3 linked regions of the Arabidopsis thaliana genome follow. The protein of the gene in region 3 interacts with the protein of the main gene of each other region in a pairwise test. Each region holds a gene or a part of one and is shown on either strand. Other genes may lie near its edges.

Region 1 (4,626 bases), on a different chromosome or scaffold from region 3:
GTGGTGAGATATTTGTGTGGCAAGCTATAGGGTTCGTTGGGTTTTATATATTCTTCGTTGGTTTCGTCTTCTGGATGGATTTTGGTACCAATGTTGAGAAAGGGAAAAGTATCAGTGAGGAAGAGAAGGATTTGTTGAGACTTCAGGATTGTGAGATTGCCGCAGGTTCTCTTGGGAGTTATAAAGCAGAGAAAGAACATCAATTTTCAGGAATTTTTCGGCTTTATGGAACGGTAAATTCTTCTTCACTCATCTTTGAGCTTTGTTTATCGATCATAATGCTGGAATTTTATGGTAGTATCATATTCAGCTACCAATTGTGAACTCCGATATTGTTTAGTTTAGATTATGCGTTTAAAGGTTTTAATTTGCTTCCTGTTTTCTTCTTAGTGTACTCTAAGGTTATGATAAGTCTCTGTGTTAGTCTAGTGAATGAGCATTTTCACTTGCTTAGGCGTTTTCAACTGGATTGTAGCTGTGTTGACAGCTCAGGAGCAATCGTTAGATCGGTTAGCTAGAGAGCTAACATGTTAGAAAGAAGTTGGGCAAAATGAGTTTGAGAGAATTTCGTAGGGTTTAGGATTGGGAACTGGTCAAGACTCGTTAATCAAGTCTCTCTATGATATGTATTCCTTTGGTGAATTCGACTCTAAAGGAGTTTACCTGTTTGGATCTTATCCAGGTTACTATATTTTTTCTGTTAGACTGCATTTAAGTTTGAAATAAGTTTAGTGAAGGTTGTCTGATTCTGCTTTTGCTGCTGTGATTGCAGATCTCGAGGATGTGGGAAACTCCTGTATCAGTTCTTTTGAACCTTACCATCCCAAAACCTTCTCCTTCGGAATGGTCTAGGTTTTATCGCTCTGCCAACATTGTTTTCTGCCCTTTTGCCCTTTTATACACTTGCAACTCTTTTGTACAACTAAACCACCCAATTTCATTCCTCTTTCCAAACACCCATCTCCCGCTTTGGCTTGTTGTCCTCTTCATGACGTCTTCCCTAGCGTTCCTCCACTTCACAGTAGAAAAACAACCACCAAAAACCGAGCAACTGCCGGTCATTGTTGTAGCTTTCATAATGAGTGTTTTCTGGATATCAACAATTGCTGGTGAGCTCCTTAACTGCTTGGCTGCGCTTGGAACCCTCCTTAAACTGCCTCCGGCGCTCCTTGGCCTAACCGTTCTTGCTTGGGGAAACTCGGTTGGTGACCTAGTTGCTGACGTGGCAGTTGCAAAGGCAGGTAGACCAGCAATGGCTATGGCCGGTTGTTTTGCAGGTCCAATGTTTAACATGCTTGTTGGACTTGGATCGGCCTTGGTGATGCAAACAGCTAATGTATATCCAGACGCTTACAAACTTGGATTCCATGTAGGTATTGTGATAGCTTTCGTCTTCTTGTTGCTTAGTCTAATGGGATCTCTGTTGGTAATAACCTGGTCTAGATTCCGAGTTCCGAGATTCTGGGGGATCTGTCTTGTTGGACTGTATGTTGCTTTCACATTTGTTAGTTTGATCATCGCCAGCGTTTCAACCTGATCATATGCGTGAAGTCTGCACATTGAATAATCTAGGGTCAACCAGGGTTCATTGTTTAGGAATTTTTGTTGTCTAGAAGGGAATTGCCAAAATTTTGAGCTCAGCTGATGGCCACCGCCAGACCAGTAATCTTCGAATCCCACAAAAAGTTCTTGTGATCGTCCGAGCCAGATTAGTAAAGTTTGGTAGATAGGTGATGGTAAAATATATGTGCTTTGGGAGAAGATTTTGACTCCCCCATCTGGTTTACTTTTCCATTGATTGTACTGGTCTTGTTTTTTTGGGTCTGTTATATATGTATAAACCACACATTTGTATTCTTTTGATATTAATGAGAAATACTTCATTGATCCTAGAATGTGTATTAGAGCAGAACAAAATGTTGATTCTGGTTCTTTTTTATGTGATTTGATTCTCTGTGAATGCCAAATATGTTGTGATACAACAAAACTACTTGTGAAATTTGAACCTCCAAAGAAGATAATTAAAGGTTGCCAATTAAATCCTAAGAAGATAATAAAAATGAATTAATTAATGTAAGAGATAAAACAAATCATGATCTGACAAGAGCAGAAGAATCTTGACATAAGCCCAATGGTTGACACGACACCCAGCTTTTAAAGCTCTTTCCACTTACTTCCCCTTGTCTTTCTAAATTCCTCCTCATTGTTAAAGTCGAAAAAAGGGTAAAGCAGCAAAACCCTAATAAAATCACAACAAATTAACACAAAAAAACCAGATCTTAAAACTCTCTCTACCCACCAAGAGGATCAACCAGTCTCTTCCCCTTCAGATTCTCCTTTCCACAGGTCACTCTCGTTTGCAGATTCTTTTTTTCAATTTGACTTGTTCTTACTTATATATTGTGGAATTCACATGATAAAATAATATGCTTGGTGTTGTAGGAACAATTCTAGTTGTTCTGTGTTAGCAGATTCTTTGTTCTGTCTATTTTGAAGGAAATTAAAGGCAATCCCTTTCGATATTTTCCTGTTTTCCTTATCAAATTTATGGGTTGGAATAAGTAGGTTGATGTATTGTCTTTTAATTCGAAGCTCAATTTTCATACTTATTGCTGTTTAGATCTTCAAGGTTAATCTAGAATTACAGATTAGACCATATATAAAGTAAATTCAGCAGATTCTTATTTATGTAAATTGTTTGTTAGCAACCTTATCTCCTTCACATTTCTTTAAAATTCTGGTCAGATGTTTCTTAAGAGCTTAGAATGAATCCCAAAGTTCTGTTTTTTTATTCTGGTAGTGAATGGATCAACAAGACCATGGACAGTCTGGAGCTATGAACTATGGCACAAACCCATACCAAACCAACCCGATGAGCACCACTGCTGCTACTGTAGCAGGAGGTGCGGCACAACCAGGCCAGCTGGCGTTCCACCAGATCCATCAGCAGCAGCAGCAGCAACAGCTGGCACAGCAGCTTCAAGCATTTTGGGAGAACCAATTCAAAGAGATTGAGAAGACTACCGATTTCAAGAACCACAGCCTTCCCCTTGCGAGAATCAAGAAAATCATGAAAGCGGATGAAGATGTCCGTATGATCTCGGCTGAGGCGCCTGTCGTGTTTGCAAGGGCCTGTGAGATGTTCATCCTGGAGCTGACACTCAGGTCGTGGAACCACACTGAGGAGAATAAGAGGCGGACGTTGCAGAAGAACGATATTGCTGCTGCTGTGACTAGAACCGATATTTTTGATTTCCTTGTGGATATTGTTCCCCGGGAGGATCTCCGAGATGAAGTCTTGGGAAGTATTCCGAGGGGCACTGTCCCGGAAGCTGCTGCTGCTGGTTACCCGTATGGATACTTGCCTGCAGGAACTGCTCCAATAGGAAATCCGGGAATGGTTATGGGTAATCCCGGTGGTGCGTATCCACCTAATCCTTATATGGGTCAACCAATGTGGCAACAACAGGCACCTGACCAACCTGACCAGGAAAATTAGCAAGAAACTGTGAGTCTTCCAGCTTCTTTTAGGCCTACCTTGTAGTCTTGGGGTTTTGTTTCTGTTTTCGAATAATGGTAACCTTTGTATAACTTATTTCAGTATCGTCTCAGTTTGGTACTATGTCAGTTTTGGTATTCTTATCTTATTGAAGTAAAAATGTGATAGTGTATTCGCTTTTCTCCCTGCAGCGTTCTAGTCTCGTCCAGGTGAAAGGAGGGAGACCTTAGACAAGAAAATGAAAAGAACATATCAGAATTGTCAAATTGGGTGTTGTAGAAGAATCTAAAGTGTTTATGTCTATCGATCCTTTTCTAAACGAGAAATTTAGGGATGAACCAGAAAGAAGAATGTATAAACTGTAAGAAACAAGTGTGCTTTTGACAAAAGTTTTTTTATTTGAATGTTAATTTCTGTGTCTTTATCACACATATTAAGTTATTATCCACAAAATGTATCTCATTGGATATTTAAAACAAAAGGACAATAATATTAAGGAAAAGACAAAATAGAAAATGACTTGGCCACTGTAGCCGCGTTAATAATGTGATAGCTTTTATCTACAAGAAGCGTTACTTGGTCGTCATCTACCTTCTCAGAAAGGGAGCTGCATCAATGGCGACCAATAATGATTTTGGAGCTTTCATTGAGAAAGTTACAATCTCTCCAACTTCTACTTCCTCGTCGCCTCCTTCTCTACAGGGTCTTACTTTCGCCATTAAAGACATGTAAGATATCCAACTACTTACAGAGTTTCTTCTATACTTTCTTGTCAATCAATTTTTGAGCTTATTGCTTGGTTTGATCAGTTTTGATGTGGAAGGACGCGTTACCGGTTTTGGTAACCCGGATTGGTTAAGGACACACTCGGCAGCTACTTCTACAGCTCCAGTAGTTTCATCTCTCTTAGAAGCTGGTGCCACAGCTTTGGGTATTACCATTATGGATGAAATGGCTTACAGGTTCAATTTCACATCTTTTCTGGTTTAGGAGTTCATGTTTTAAGAAACAGGATATGTCATAACAGAGGCTAGAACTAAAATATGACTAGGTTTGTTACGTTTTTTCTGAGCATGTTCTTACTTAATATGCAGTATAAACGGAGAAAATGCGCATTATGGGACTCC
Region 2 (4,223 bases), about 16 Mb from region 3:
AATGTATTTCCACATTTTCAGGTTTTATGTTGACGATACACCGATCAGGGTGTACAGCAAGAATCCAGATGTTTACTACCCATCGGTGCAGACAATGTTCCTAATGGGAAGTGTGCAAAACGGATCGATAATTGACCCGAAGCAGATGCCTTACATTGCTAAGTTCCAGGCATCAAAGATTGAAGGGTGTAAGACTGAGTTCATGGGAATAGATAAATGCACTGATCCTAAGTTCTGGTGGAATCGCAAACAGCTAAGCTCTAAAGAGAAGACACTGTACCTAAACGCAAGGAAGACGTACCTGGATTATGACTATTGTTCTGACAGACAGCGATATCCAAAGGTGCCTCAAGAATGTGGAAGTTACACTTAGAGAAAGATCAATACCTGTCACAGGGTTAAGCCTACAAAACAATTATCTTGAAAAAATAACTTATGTTACTGTAAGATGCTTTATGATAAGCCTTTTCTATCAAATAACAACATTATTGTCATCAATGCTAGATACATTACTATGTCACGAGTTCATATACAGATACCTATTTACACAGAACCAAGTTGGTTCAGATCGGGTTTGCTTGAGGTTTACAAGCACTGAAACCTCTGAAAAGAACCTTACAGGTTACAAGACTGCATTTTCTCAGACATCAAGATAAGTCAAATATGAGAAAAAATCGGAAAGAAGCATACAATAGAAACTGCACATTAGATTATATATAGTTAGGCTAAGTCGCAGCAATGATGGTTTTGCTACAATAACATATACGTTAACAGAGAGAAACAAGAGTTTTTTTTACTCTTCTTTAACGAAGCCTTTTCATTGAATTTAGGCATAATCTATCAAACACATCCAAAATTCAAGGCGAGGTCGACTAATATCTGCTATCTTCAAGCAGGTCAAGCATCATCTGGAATACTCTGAGCTTAACTGCAAAAATGATACCAAAACATTGAAAGGTAAGTTTAAGGAGCCATAGTTCATTGATTCATTCAGATTCAGCAGAAGAGCAAGAGAATCTAGTTGTTTGATATAGCAATGTTTGCAAATTGCGATATGAAAACAATTTTCAAATCTTGATGATTACAGGATTAGAGATTGTTTATCATTCCAAATCCTAAAACCTTAATAAACAGAGAAATCTTGGACTAACATGATTATATCCCAAACAAACCAGACTTAGAGATTGTTTATCATTCCATCTCCTAAAACCCTAGACGATCATGTAATCAATCAATGTATATCACATTGCACAGAAAATGAAACTTTACCCTTGGCCGTCGAGATTCCCTTGACCGGAACTTCCACCACTACCATAAGAGACATCATCTCCCGTCCCCGTCGAAGTCTGCCAAACACTCTGCCACGCCTGAGACGGAGGCTGGACATAAACACCATTCGGATCCATAGCTGGTCTCCCAATCATCATCCCTCCAGGACCAGCTGGTTGTCCCATCGGCGGATAATAGTAAGGCACGCCGCTCGCGGTAGGAGCCACCACCATTCCACCACCGAGGACTGCGGCTTCGTCCTTAATCTCATCTCTAGGAACAATATCAACAAGGAAATCGAAGATATCAGTCCTAGTAATCGCAGCAGCGATATCGTTTTTCTGAAGCGTACGACGTTTATTCTCCTCAGCGTGAAGCCAAGATCTGATCGTGAGCTCGAGAATGAAAAGCTCACAAGCTTTCGCGAAGAGAATCGGTGCTTCTGCGGAGATCATACGAACATCTTCATCGGCTTTCATGATCTTTTTTATCCTAGCTAGTGGAAGCTGATGGTTTTTGAAATCGTTAACTTGTTCGATCTCTTGGCGTTGGTAGGTCCAGAATAGTTGGAGCTGTTGTTGTTGTTGTTGGAGAAGGTGGTGGTAAGAAGCTCCTCCTCCTGCGGCGGAGATGGTGGTTCCAGGTGGTGGAGGAGGGATTCCGGCGGCGGAGGGAGGTGGTTGCTGGTTGTTGGTATCCATTGGTCGGTTTTGGATTTTGATTTTTGGATCAAAAAGGTCGTGACAAGTTTTTGCCAAAGGGATTGGGGTACAAGTGGATAAGGTGGACAGCGATGTAGCTGATGATTTTCTCTCTTTTTTTTCTATTTCCTAAATTAATTTTTTTCTATTTTCTATTTCAAGTTAAATTTTGTTTTTTTTTTACACGTACCAAAGTTCATATGCATCCGAAATGAACCAAAAGAAAACATCAAGAGTGAAGAGAGCTGTCAGGAAAATGTTGCATCAAGAGTGAAGAGAGCTCTTTATTTCCGACTTTGTCTTTGCCATCGAGTATCGTCTTCAAGGTATCATCGCATCGTATCCGCCATTTACTACACTTCGTAATCTACAAATGAAACAAGTGAGCTCTAAACAAATCATAATCTCTAAACATGAAAATGCAATCTATGACCACCAAACAGAGAAGCAAGCACAAGGTCCAAAGCCACCTAAAGACACTCTATATTCGTAACTGGTGAATTCTTCATCTGACAGTGTATGAATTGACAAGCTAAGTTTTCAAAATATGCAATCAGAAAAGACCATTTCCACAAACAAAACCAAAACATTCAAGTGAGTAAACAACATTTTCAGCGTAGATGTCAATTACTCCAATAATGACCAACACAAGAATCAAATCACTACCATTCTCCAGTCTCTAGAGACTCCAATCCCTAAATGCATAAACATGTAAAGAGGAGATCATAAGGAAAGTAAAAAAGCTAACCCAAGGAAACTCGAGCAGAGTAACACCCTCATCTACGAGCTTGTGATCAAAGGCATAATCTAGCAATTTTCTCAAGGCGGCGTCAAAAGAGATTTCGCTTTGGCCGACGAATCTAGCCAGCGGCTCTGAGACTTTCACAATATCATTGAACCCCCATTTTTCTATAGTACCTCCACCGGTAGCCTTCACCTTCGCCGACATAGTTCTAACGTTAGGAAAATGTCGCAACAAAAGCTCCGTCATCTCTCTGACTCCGACGACTTTGTCTTGGCCATCGAAAATCGTCTTCAAGTTATCATCGCACAGTATCTCCTCTATATTCTCCGGATTCTACAAATCAAAGACCTATAAATCAGATACATTGCTCCAACAGAAAGAATCAGATCAAAAGACCTAGAAATCACCAAAAAAAAAAGTAGAATGAAAGGAAACTGGAGAAGAGTTTCGAAATCCCTAACCCAAAGATTGTGATCATCGGTATACTGCTCCACTTTCTCCATGGCGGTGGAAAAAGAGACTTCGCTTTGGCCGACGAATCTAGCCAGCGACTCTGAGACTGGAAAAATCTTATGAATTCCTCCTCTTCTATCAACGCCGGCGCCGGTAGCCGTCGCATTAGTCACCGCCTTCGCCATCAGTGTCCTGCATCCTCCTAGAATCTTAGAAATTGGCGACATTGTTGTTTCTCCTTCACTCCACTGCCCCTAACAATAAACAATTGAAGAAAAGTCTCCAACTAAAGAAATTGATGCAACTCATTTTGGGCCTTGTTGAATATTTATATATGGGCCTAATTGGGCTTCAGTTATATTGGGAGTTTATGAAGATCTTTCGATTGCTCAACATATCACTAACATTAACAATGAATTTTGTCTATTTCTTTGTTCCTCAATTCTAGTTTCCATACATAAAATCACACATTTTCAGATCAAAACATAGGAAGACGAATGCAAACAAGATTTTTAATCAGTTGTGTGGCCGTGTAGTGAGCGAAGATCGCATATCGACAATAGCAGATTTATCGGCACCAAGCTTCATTGCCTCTTTACTAGCTCTAATGAACCGAGAAGTAGCTCCTTTGACATACTCATGAGCTTGTTTCACAGTCATCTTCTTTCCAATTTCTTCCGGGAAGCTACTGAGGAAGTGATCACCATTGAGAACCGCTGCAAGCTGAACCACTTCACCTTGAAACTCAGAAAGAGCAGCGTCTTCTTTAGGCTCAGTGGCTCTCATAGGTGCAACTTCAGGTAGAGTCATGGGACAATCGGTTCGAGGAGTGGTTAAGTGAGATACAACGTCTTCGAAAGTAGCAGCCCATGCATCTCTATGTGTTAAGAAATTGGAAGAGAGATTGAAGAGTTTCTTGATTGTCGCTGGTATTGATGAATGCTCGTACTCTGAGCTCTCTGTTGGTCCTTTTGCTTCACTTACGACTTCATTCAAAACATATAATAAAATAAGATGTTATTAAACTATATATAGTAAAAAAATATTAAAATCAA
Region 3 (5,408 bases):
TTCCTTTAATACCATAAACGTACACACTCGACTTCCACTTGAGTGTCCTTAGTTCATGTATTCAAGTGGAATGCATATGTAGCTCTACTTCATTTTAATACTTTGTTATTTCGTGCATATTCAAAAGTTGGGTTGTCAATTTTCTTAAGAACATAGAAAAATATAGTTGGTGATTAGTCAGTAATCGTGTTTTTTGGAAGCTTATGAACAAGTGGAGCCAATGAGTGACTTACATATTAATCGCATAGGAGAATAAGATGAACAATATCTATAGCGACTGTTTTTTTATATATATTTTCAGAAGAAAAGCAAAATCTCTTTAAGAAAGCTAATGGGTTATTTTATATATCTTAGTGTTGTTAATCTTCTTTTATATAATAAGGTTGTAATTAGGTTTATGGTTAATTAGTGTCAAAACTAATTTCATCCCACAGAGCAGCTTTAGTATTGTTATCTATACGTGTCTAGAGGAGACGAATCAGACTGACAATTTTTATTCTTAGTAAATAATAATTATTCATCGTAGTTAAAATCTACAACTAATATGAAAACCATTTTACATGTAGAAATCTTTGAAAAAGACTAAAAAATGAGTAGATCGAATATGTATATTATATATACCAATATACAGTAGTAAACCAATTTTGAAAGTTCTTCATCTGTAGAAATATTTTGATTGTGGAATGTAGCTCAACATCAATCAATTACAAAACAATAGATCTACCCATCGTACGTTGACTATCATCTTGCATCCTCATCTACCTTTGGTGGCAGGTTGACCTTTTAATGTTGATATATAACATGCTTTGATATCTCTTTAATGCTTTAGACCAAAACATACTTTTTATTTATTGATAAAGTGTTTAGCAAAACGTACATTCATGAAAAGTACTATATCGATCGATGACTACAAATTCATATCTTCACCATAAAACATTTCTAGTTTTGCTTTGAGTCTTATGATTCGCATTTTGCAGTCTAGCTATATTCCCTACATTATTTGAAAATAAGCTATTTAATTATGTTGTTCTTTTGCCAACTACATTAAAATCGTTGATCACAAATCCATAAAAAGATTGTGCTTTAGATATATATTTACGATAAAGCAATAAACTAAGACTAGAACTGAGCTTTCTATATGTCAGTGAAAGTAGATATTTTTGTTAGAAGATAGTGTACGTACTACTGTACTATAGTGCATAATTCAATTAATTATTGTGTTTCGGATGAAAGAAAAGCTGCTAGTGGGATATGCTTAAGCACCAGTGCACGACGTATAAACAAAAGCAAGCACTAACGTAAACCCTTTTTTTTTCTTTGTCAAGCCCGTAAACCAATATTCTATTTTTCAATTTAACCTTATTTTATTTCTCTTAGATTTAATTCAGTTAAGTTCAATTCAACATCTAATATAAACCAAATTCTTAAATTAGGTAAAGGAAGCTAATCCATAATAATCAAGTCCAACACTAAAAGCAAAAGCAATCTCTTACAAATATATAACATGTATTATAATGTCTCCGGAATGATATCTATAGAGCTTAACTATTAGTTGTCTAATTTCAATCATAAACACGTGTACGGTCGGGTTCACAAAATAACTAGAACTATTTAAAGAAACATAACAAAAGAGGAAACAAAAGGACAAATGTGTGAAAAACATTTGAAAACCTAGTTAAGAATAACATCCTCAACAAGTGGAAATGCTATTGCGAAAATATGTTTGGTCTATTTACAGAATTATACAAAGGTTGATTCTGGCAGACTTTATATAATGTTTTGGTAGGGAATAAGTCACGAGCTTATAATAGCAAATATTGGCATGTCATTGTTGAAGATGTCAGATTGTTACTTTATTTTAGTTTTAATTATTTTATTATTTTTGAGTGGTGATCCTTTTTCCATATGACGTATATGCACATTTTTAATTTAAAAGCTTACAAGGACCACAATCATAATAATAAACGATGCAATTGACAAGCCAAGCACTACTCTTACCTAGTGGAAAAATATCAAAAATCAAAAATGAAATAAAAATGGATTTAAGTGGGATCATTGTAGCTTTTTAAAACAAAGCACGTCAAGCCAACGCTATAGTTAAAAACCAGACCAATTATTTTTAGTTGTTTTACATTTATATCTCCAACTCCAAATAAAGTAGAAAATTAAAAAAAAAAACAGAGCAGCATAAAAGTTGAAGGTGATTGGTTGATAAAGCTATAGTTGTCATCTACATTTGTAATTCATATATTAGTACGTCTCTCTCTTCTCTTTCTCTCTCTCCCTACTAAATACTAATGTGTGTGAATGAATCTCTGTTTCTTGTTTTGGAACCGAGATGGCTTCCTAACAATTGGGCTTTTCTCTGCCTCTTCCTAGGAATCTGAAGCTCTTCTCTACTCTCTACTCTATCACTCCATCTGTGTAAGTTTTACTCAACCTCTTTCTCTTTTTTTCTTTGCTTTATTCTTTTAGATTCACATAGGTTTTCGTGTGTTTGATTTTGACCAACATTTGGGATTTTATTTTACTTCTTTTTGGAGTTTGTTTGCTATTGGGGATCTCTAGTCTGTGAAAAAGATTTCAGTTCTTGCGTCTTATCTTCTCGTTTCACACAATCTTTTTTTCTTACTTTAGACAACAAGTCTGTCTCTTGATGATGATTCACATATGGGTTTTGTCATTCGTGTGGTTTTGCGTAATACCCAATCCCAAAGTTCTTTCCTTTCTTTCTTACAAGTTTTCTAAATTGGGTTTGAAATTTGACAAAGATTTCACATCCAACTCTTATTATTACTTTGTTGACTTTTTTTTTTTTGTTATCTTCCACAGGAACATATCTTTCTTATTCTTCTAGGCACTATCTATTTTTCACTTTTTGTAATTGGAATTTGGAGATGGCTATGCAAACTGTGAGAGAAGGTCTCTTCTCTGCTCCACAGACTTCTTGGTGGACTGCTTTTGGATCTCAGCCGTTGGCTCCGGAGAGTCTCGCCGGCGATTCTGACTCATTCGCCGGAGTTAAGGTCGGATCTGTCGGAGAGACAGGACAACGTGTGGATAAACAGAGCAACTCTGCAACGCACTTAGCTTTCTCACTTGGTAAACTCTTAACTTCTTTTGCCCTCAAATAGATGGTTCTAGTGAAAATTTCTGAATTTGTCAAAAGTGGCTTTTTTTGGAAAGTGCTAGTACATGTTTTACTAGTTATTTATAGGTATGACTGAGAGTGAACAGAACTGAGCTAAATTGTCCGAAAAGAGAATCTAAGATTCTACAAGATATAAAGATGTTTAAAAAGATATCTTTATGGTTCAAATTCTGGATTGTAAAAATGTTATTTGTTCTGTAGGTAATTGTGAATCTAAGAATGCGTTTGTGATCTGATTTGGAATAATTTTCACTATGTATGTATTAGGTGATGTAAAGAGTCCAAGACTTGTGCCAAAGCCTCATGGAGCTACTTTCTCAATGCAATCACCTTGCTTGGAACTTGGATTTTCTCAGCCACCGGTAAAAACTTTTCCGCATTGAAAAACATATAATGAATAAGCCTATCATGAGTTTCCTTTAATTTGTTTCTGAGTATTTAGTGTTTGTTGGCTGTTTACTTTGGTCATTTAGATCTATACAAAGTATCCCTATGGAGAACAACAATACTATGGAGTTGTTTCAGCCTATGGATCTCAGAGCAGGGTAATGCTTCCTCTAAACATGGAAACGGAAGATAGTACCATCTATGTGAACTCAAAGCAATACCATGGAATCATAAGGAGACGCCAATCCCGCGCAAAGGCTGCTGCTGTTCTTGATCAGAAGAAATTGAGTAGTAGATGCCGCAAGGTAACATATAGAAACTAGTTTGATACTTTTGTGCAAATGAGATTTTATTACTGAATTAGTGTGTTTGCTTTTGTTATGTATGTTGCAGCCATATATGCATCATTCGCGCCATCTCCATGCATTGCGGCGTCCTAGAGGATCCGGTGGGAGATTCTTGAACACTAAAAGTCAGAACTTGGAAAATAGCGGAACCAATGCAAAGAAAGGTGATGGAAGTATGCAGATTCAGTCTCAGCCTAAGCCTCAGCAAAGTAACTCTCAGAATTCTGAAGTTGTTCATCCGGAAAACGGGACCATGAACTTATCGAACGGATTAAATGTGTCGGGATCAGAAGTTACTAGCATGAACTACTTCCTAAGTTCTCCCGTTCATTCTCTTGGTGGCATGGTAATGCCTAGCAAGTGGATAGCAGCAGCAGCAGCAATGGATAATGGCTGCTGCAATTTCAAAACCTGATCCTTTACCGTTTCACAGTCAAACGGAGAGAGATAAAGAACTCTTGCCTTGGTATAAAGGATTTTCCTTTTTGCCAATCCGCTTTGGCTGTGAACAGGCAAATCATCTTTGGCTCATTCTCTATTAAGGTAACTTCGCCGTGAGGTGAAAAAAGCTTTGATATATTTATCTTCAGTGTAAAAGTAGTTAAAACTGGTGAAGAACAATGATGTGTTTGGTCACTAAACCCACTTGTTCCAACTAGTAGTGTGTGTTTTAAGAAAACTCTGTTATCTGATTTTGTAGCTCTCTCTGGCTTTGTGTGTTTCTCAAACAACTGTAACAACTTTTAAGTTATGTGGTTTATGTAACATATTTAAGACCTGTGTTTTTGTATATTTGGTCGAATTTATGTTATTATTTGCTTATTATCCAGGACTTATACAGCAAAGACAGAGTAAAAAAAATTCTGTTCCAAATCTAATGGTTGATCAATCTAGCTATCGATCCGAGATCGAAAAAAAATCGAGCAACGTTCAACCACTCAACTAAGACATTCCATTTGTCAACATGTGAAACGATATATTATATATATCCTAAACAACCATGGTTAGCTTTTAACCGCAGTTAATGTTACATGTATTAAACGTCTAAATTATAAATAGATGGCGGTTTTTTCCCAAGTAAATCTGTAGTGAAAAATAAATGCGGAAATGGCTACAAAAAACGTAAAATATTTAGAGTAAAAAAAAATAAAAACGTAAAATATTTAGCACTCTATAATATAATAAGATTATACTTGAAACTGCATTTACTTTTGTTTAAGAATAAATATTAAATAAATTTAACATTGGATTAGGTATATAATCTATTGTAGTGGCCAAAATCTATAATATCTTTAAGTTTTAGATAGCTATATGTGATATCCATGATATGATTAATAATATATTAGCAAATATGAAAGAAAATATTCATATTCTATTACTATGTTTTTACTGTAAAATGATCATGATTTTTTTTTGATATTTATAGCTTGGATAAATAATATAATATTATAAAATAATTCGCTTAGAGTATTAGTAATACTGTTTTATATATTTTTCGTAGGGTGAAAACAATTTTTCTGTAA

What was found. Proteins that work in one complex are often made in the same cells at the same time.
Region 1: the proteins of NF-YA2 (region 3) and NF-YC9 interact in a two-hybrid assay, tested with the Arabidopsis thaliana proteins (3 studies listed by BioGRID).
Region 2: the proteins of NF-YA2 (region 3) and NF-YC1 interact in a two-hybrid assay, tested with the Arabidopsis thaliana proteins (2 studies listed by BioGRID).

The regions. Positions count from the first base shown.
Region 1 is NC_003070.9:2,880,341-2,884,966, forward strand, and holds NF-YC9 (nuclear factor Y, subunit C9), read left to right. Parts: upstream 1-2,150; 5' UTR 2,151-2,346; exon of another isoform or gene 2,347-2,800; 5' UTR 2,801-2,803; coding exon 2,804-3,499; 3' UTR 3,500-3,508; exon of another isoform or gene 3,509-3,690; 3' UTR 3,691-4,002; downstream 4,003-4,626. Other genes in the region: CAX11 (cation exchanger 11), read left to right, coding at 1-233, 773-1,537; AMI1 (amidase 1), read left to right, coding at 4,115-4,227, 4,309-4,461, 4,594-4,626. UniProt on the Arabidopsis thaliana protein: Stimulates the transcription of various genes by recognizing and binding to a CCAAT motif in promoters. Interacts with REF6 to directly regulate SOC1 transcription in response to flowering signals from photoperiod and gibberellic acid pathways.
Region 2 is NC_003074.8:18,007,969-18,012,191, forward strand, and holds NF-YC1 (nuclear factor Y, subunit C1), read right to left. Parts: upstream 2,051-4,223; 5' UTR 1,971-2,050; coding exon 1,270-1,970; intron 929-1,269; coding exon 925-928; 3' UTR 625-924; downstream 1-624. Other genes in the region: XTH11 (xyloglucan endotransglucosylase/hydrolase 11), read left to right, coding at 22-373; AT3G48600 (SWIB complex BAF60b domain-containing protein), read right to left, coding at 2,200-2,337, 2,719-3,048, 3,177-3,395; NPC6 (non-specific phospholipase C6), read right to left, coding at 3,685-4,154. UniProt on the Arabidopsis thaliana protein: Stimulates the transcription of various genes by recognizing and binding to a CCAAT motif in promoters.
Region 3 is NC_003074.8:1,675,814-1,681,221, reverse strand, and holds NF-YA2 (nuclear factor Y, subunit A2), read left to right. Parts: upstream 1-2,253; 5' UTR 2,254-2,670; coding exon 2,671-2,716; intron 2,717-2,832; coding exon 2,833-3,102; intron 3,103-3,418; coding exon 3,419-3,513; intron 3,514-3,624; coding exon 3,625-3,843; intron 3,844-3,931; coding exon 3,932-4,300; 3' UTR 4,301-4,718; downstream 4,719-5,408. UniProt on the Arabidopsis thaliana protein: Stimulates the transcription of various genes by recognizing and binding to a CCAAT motif in promoters.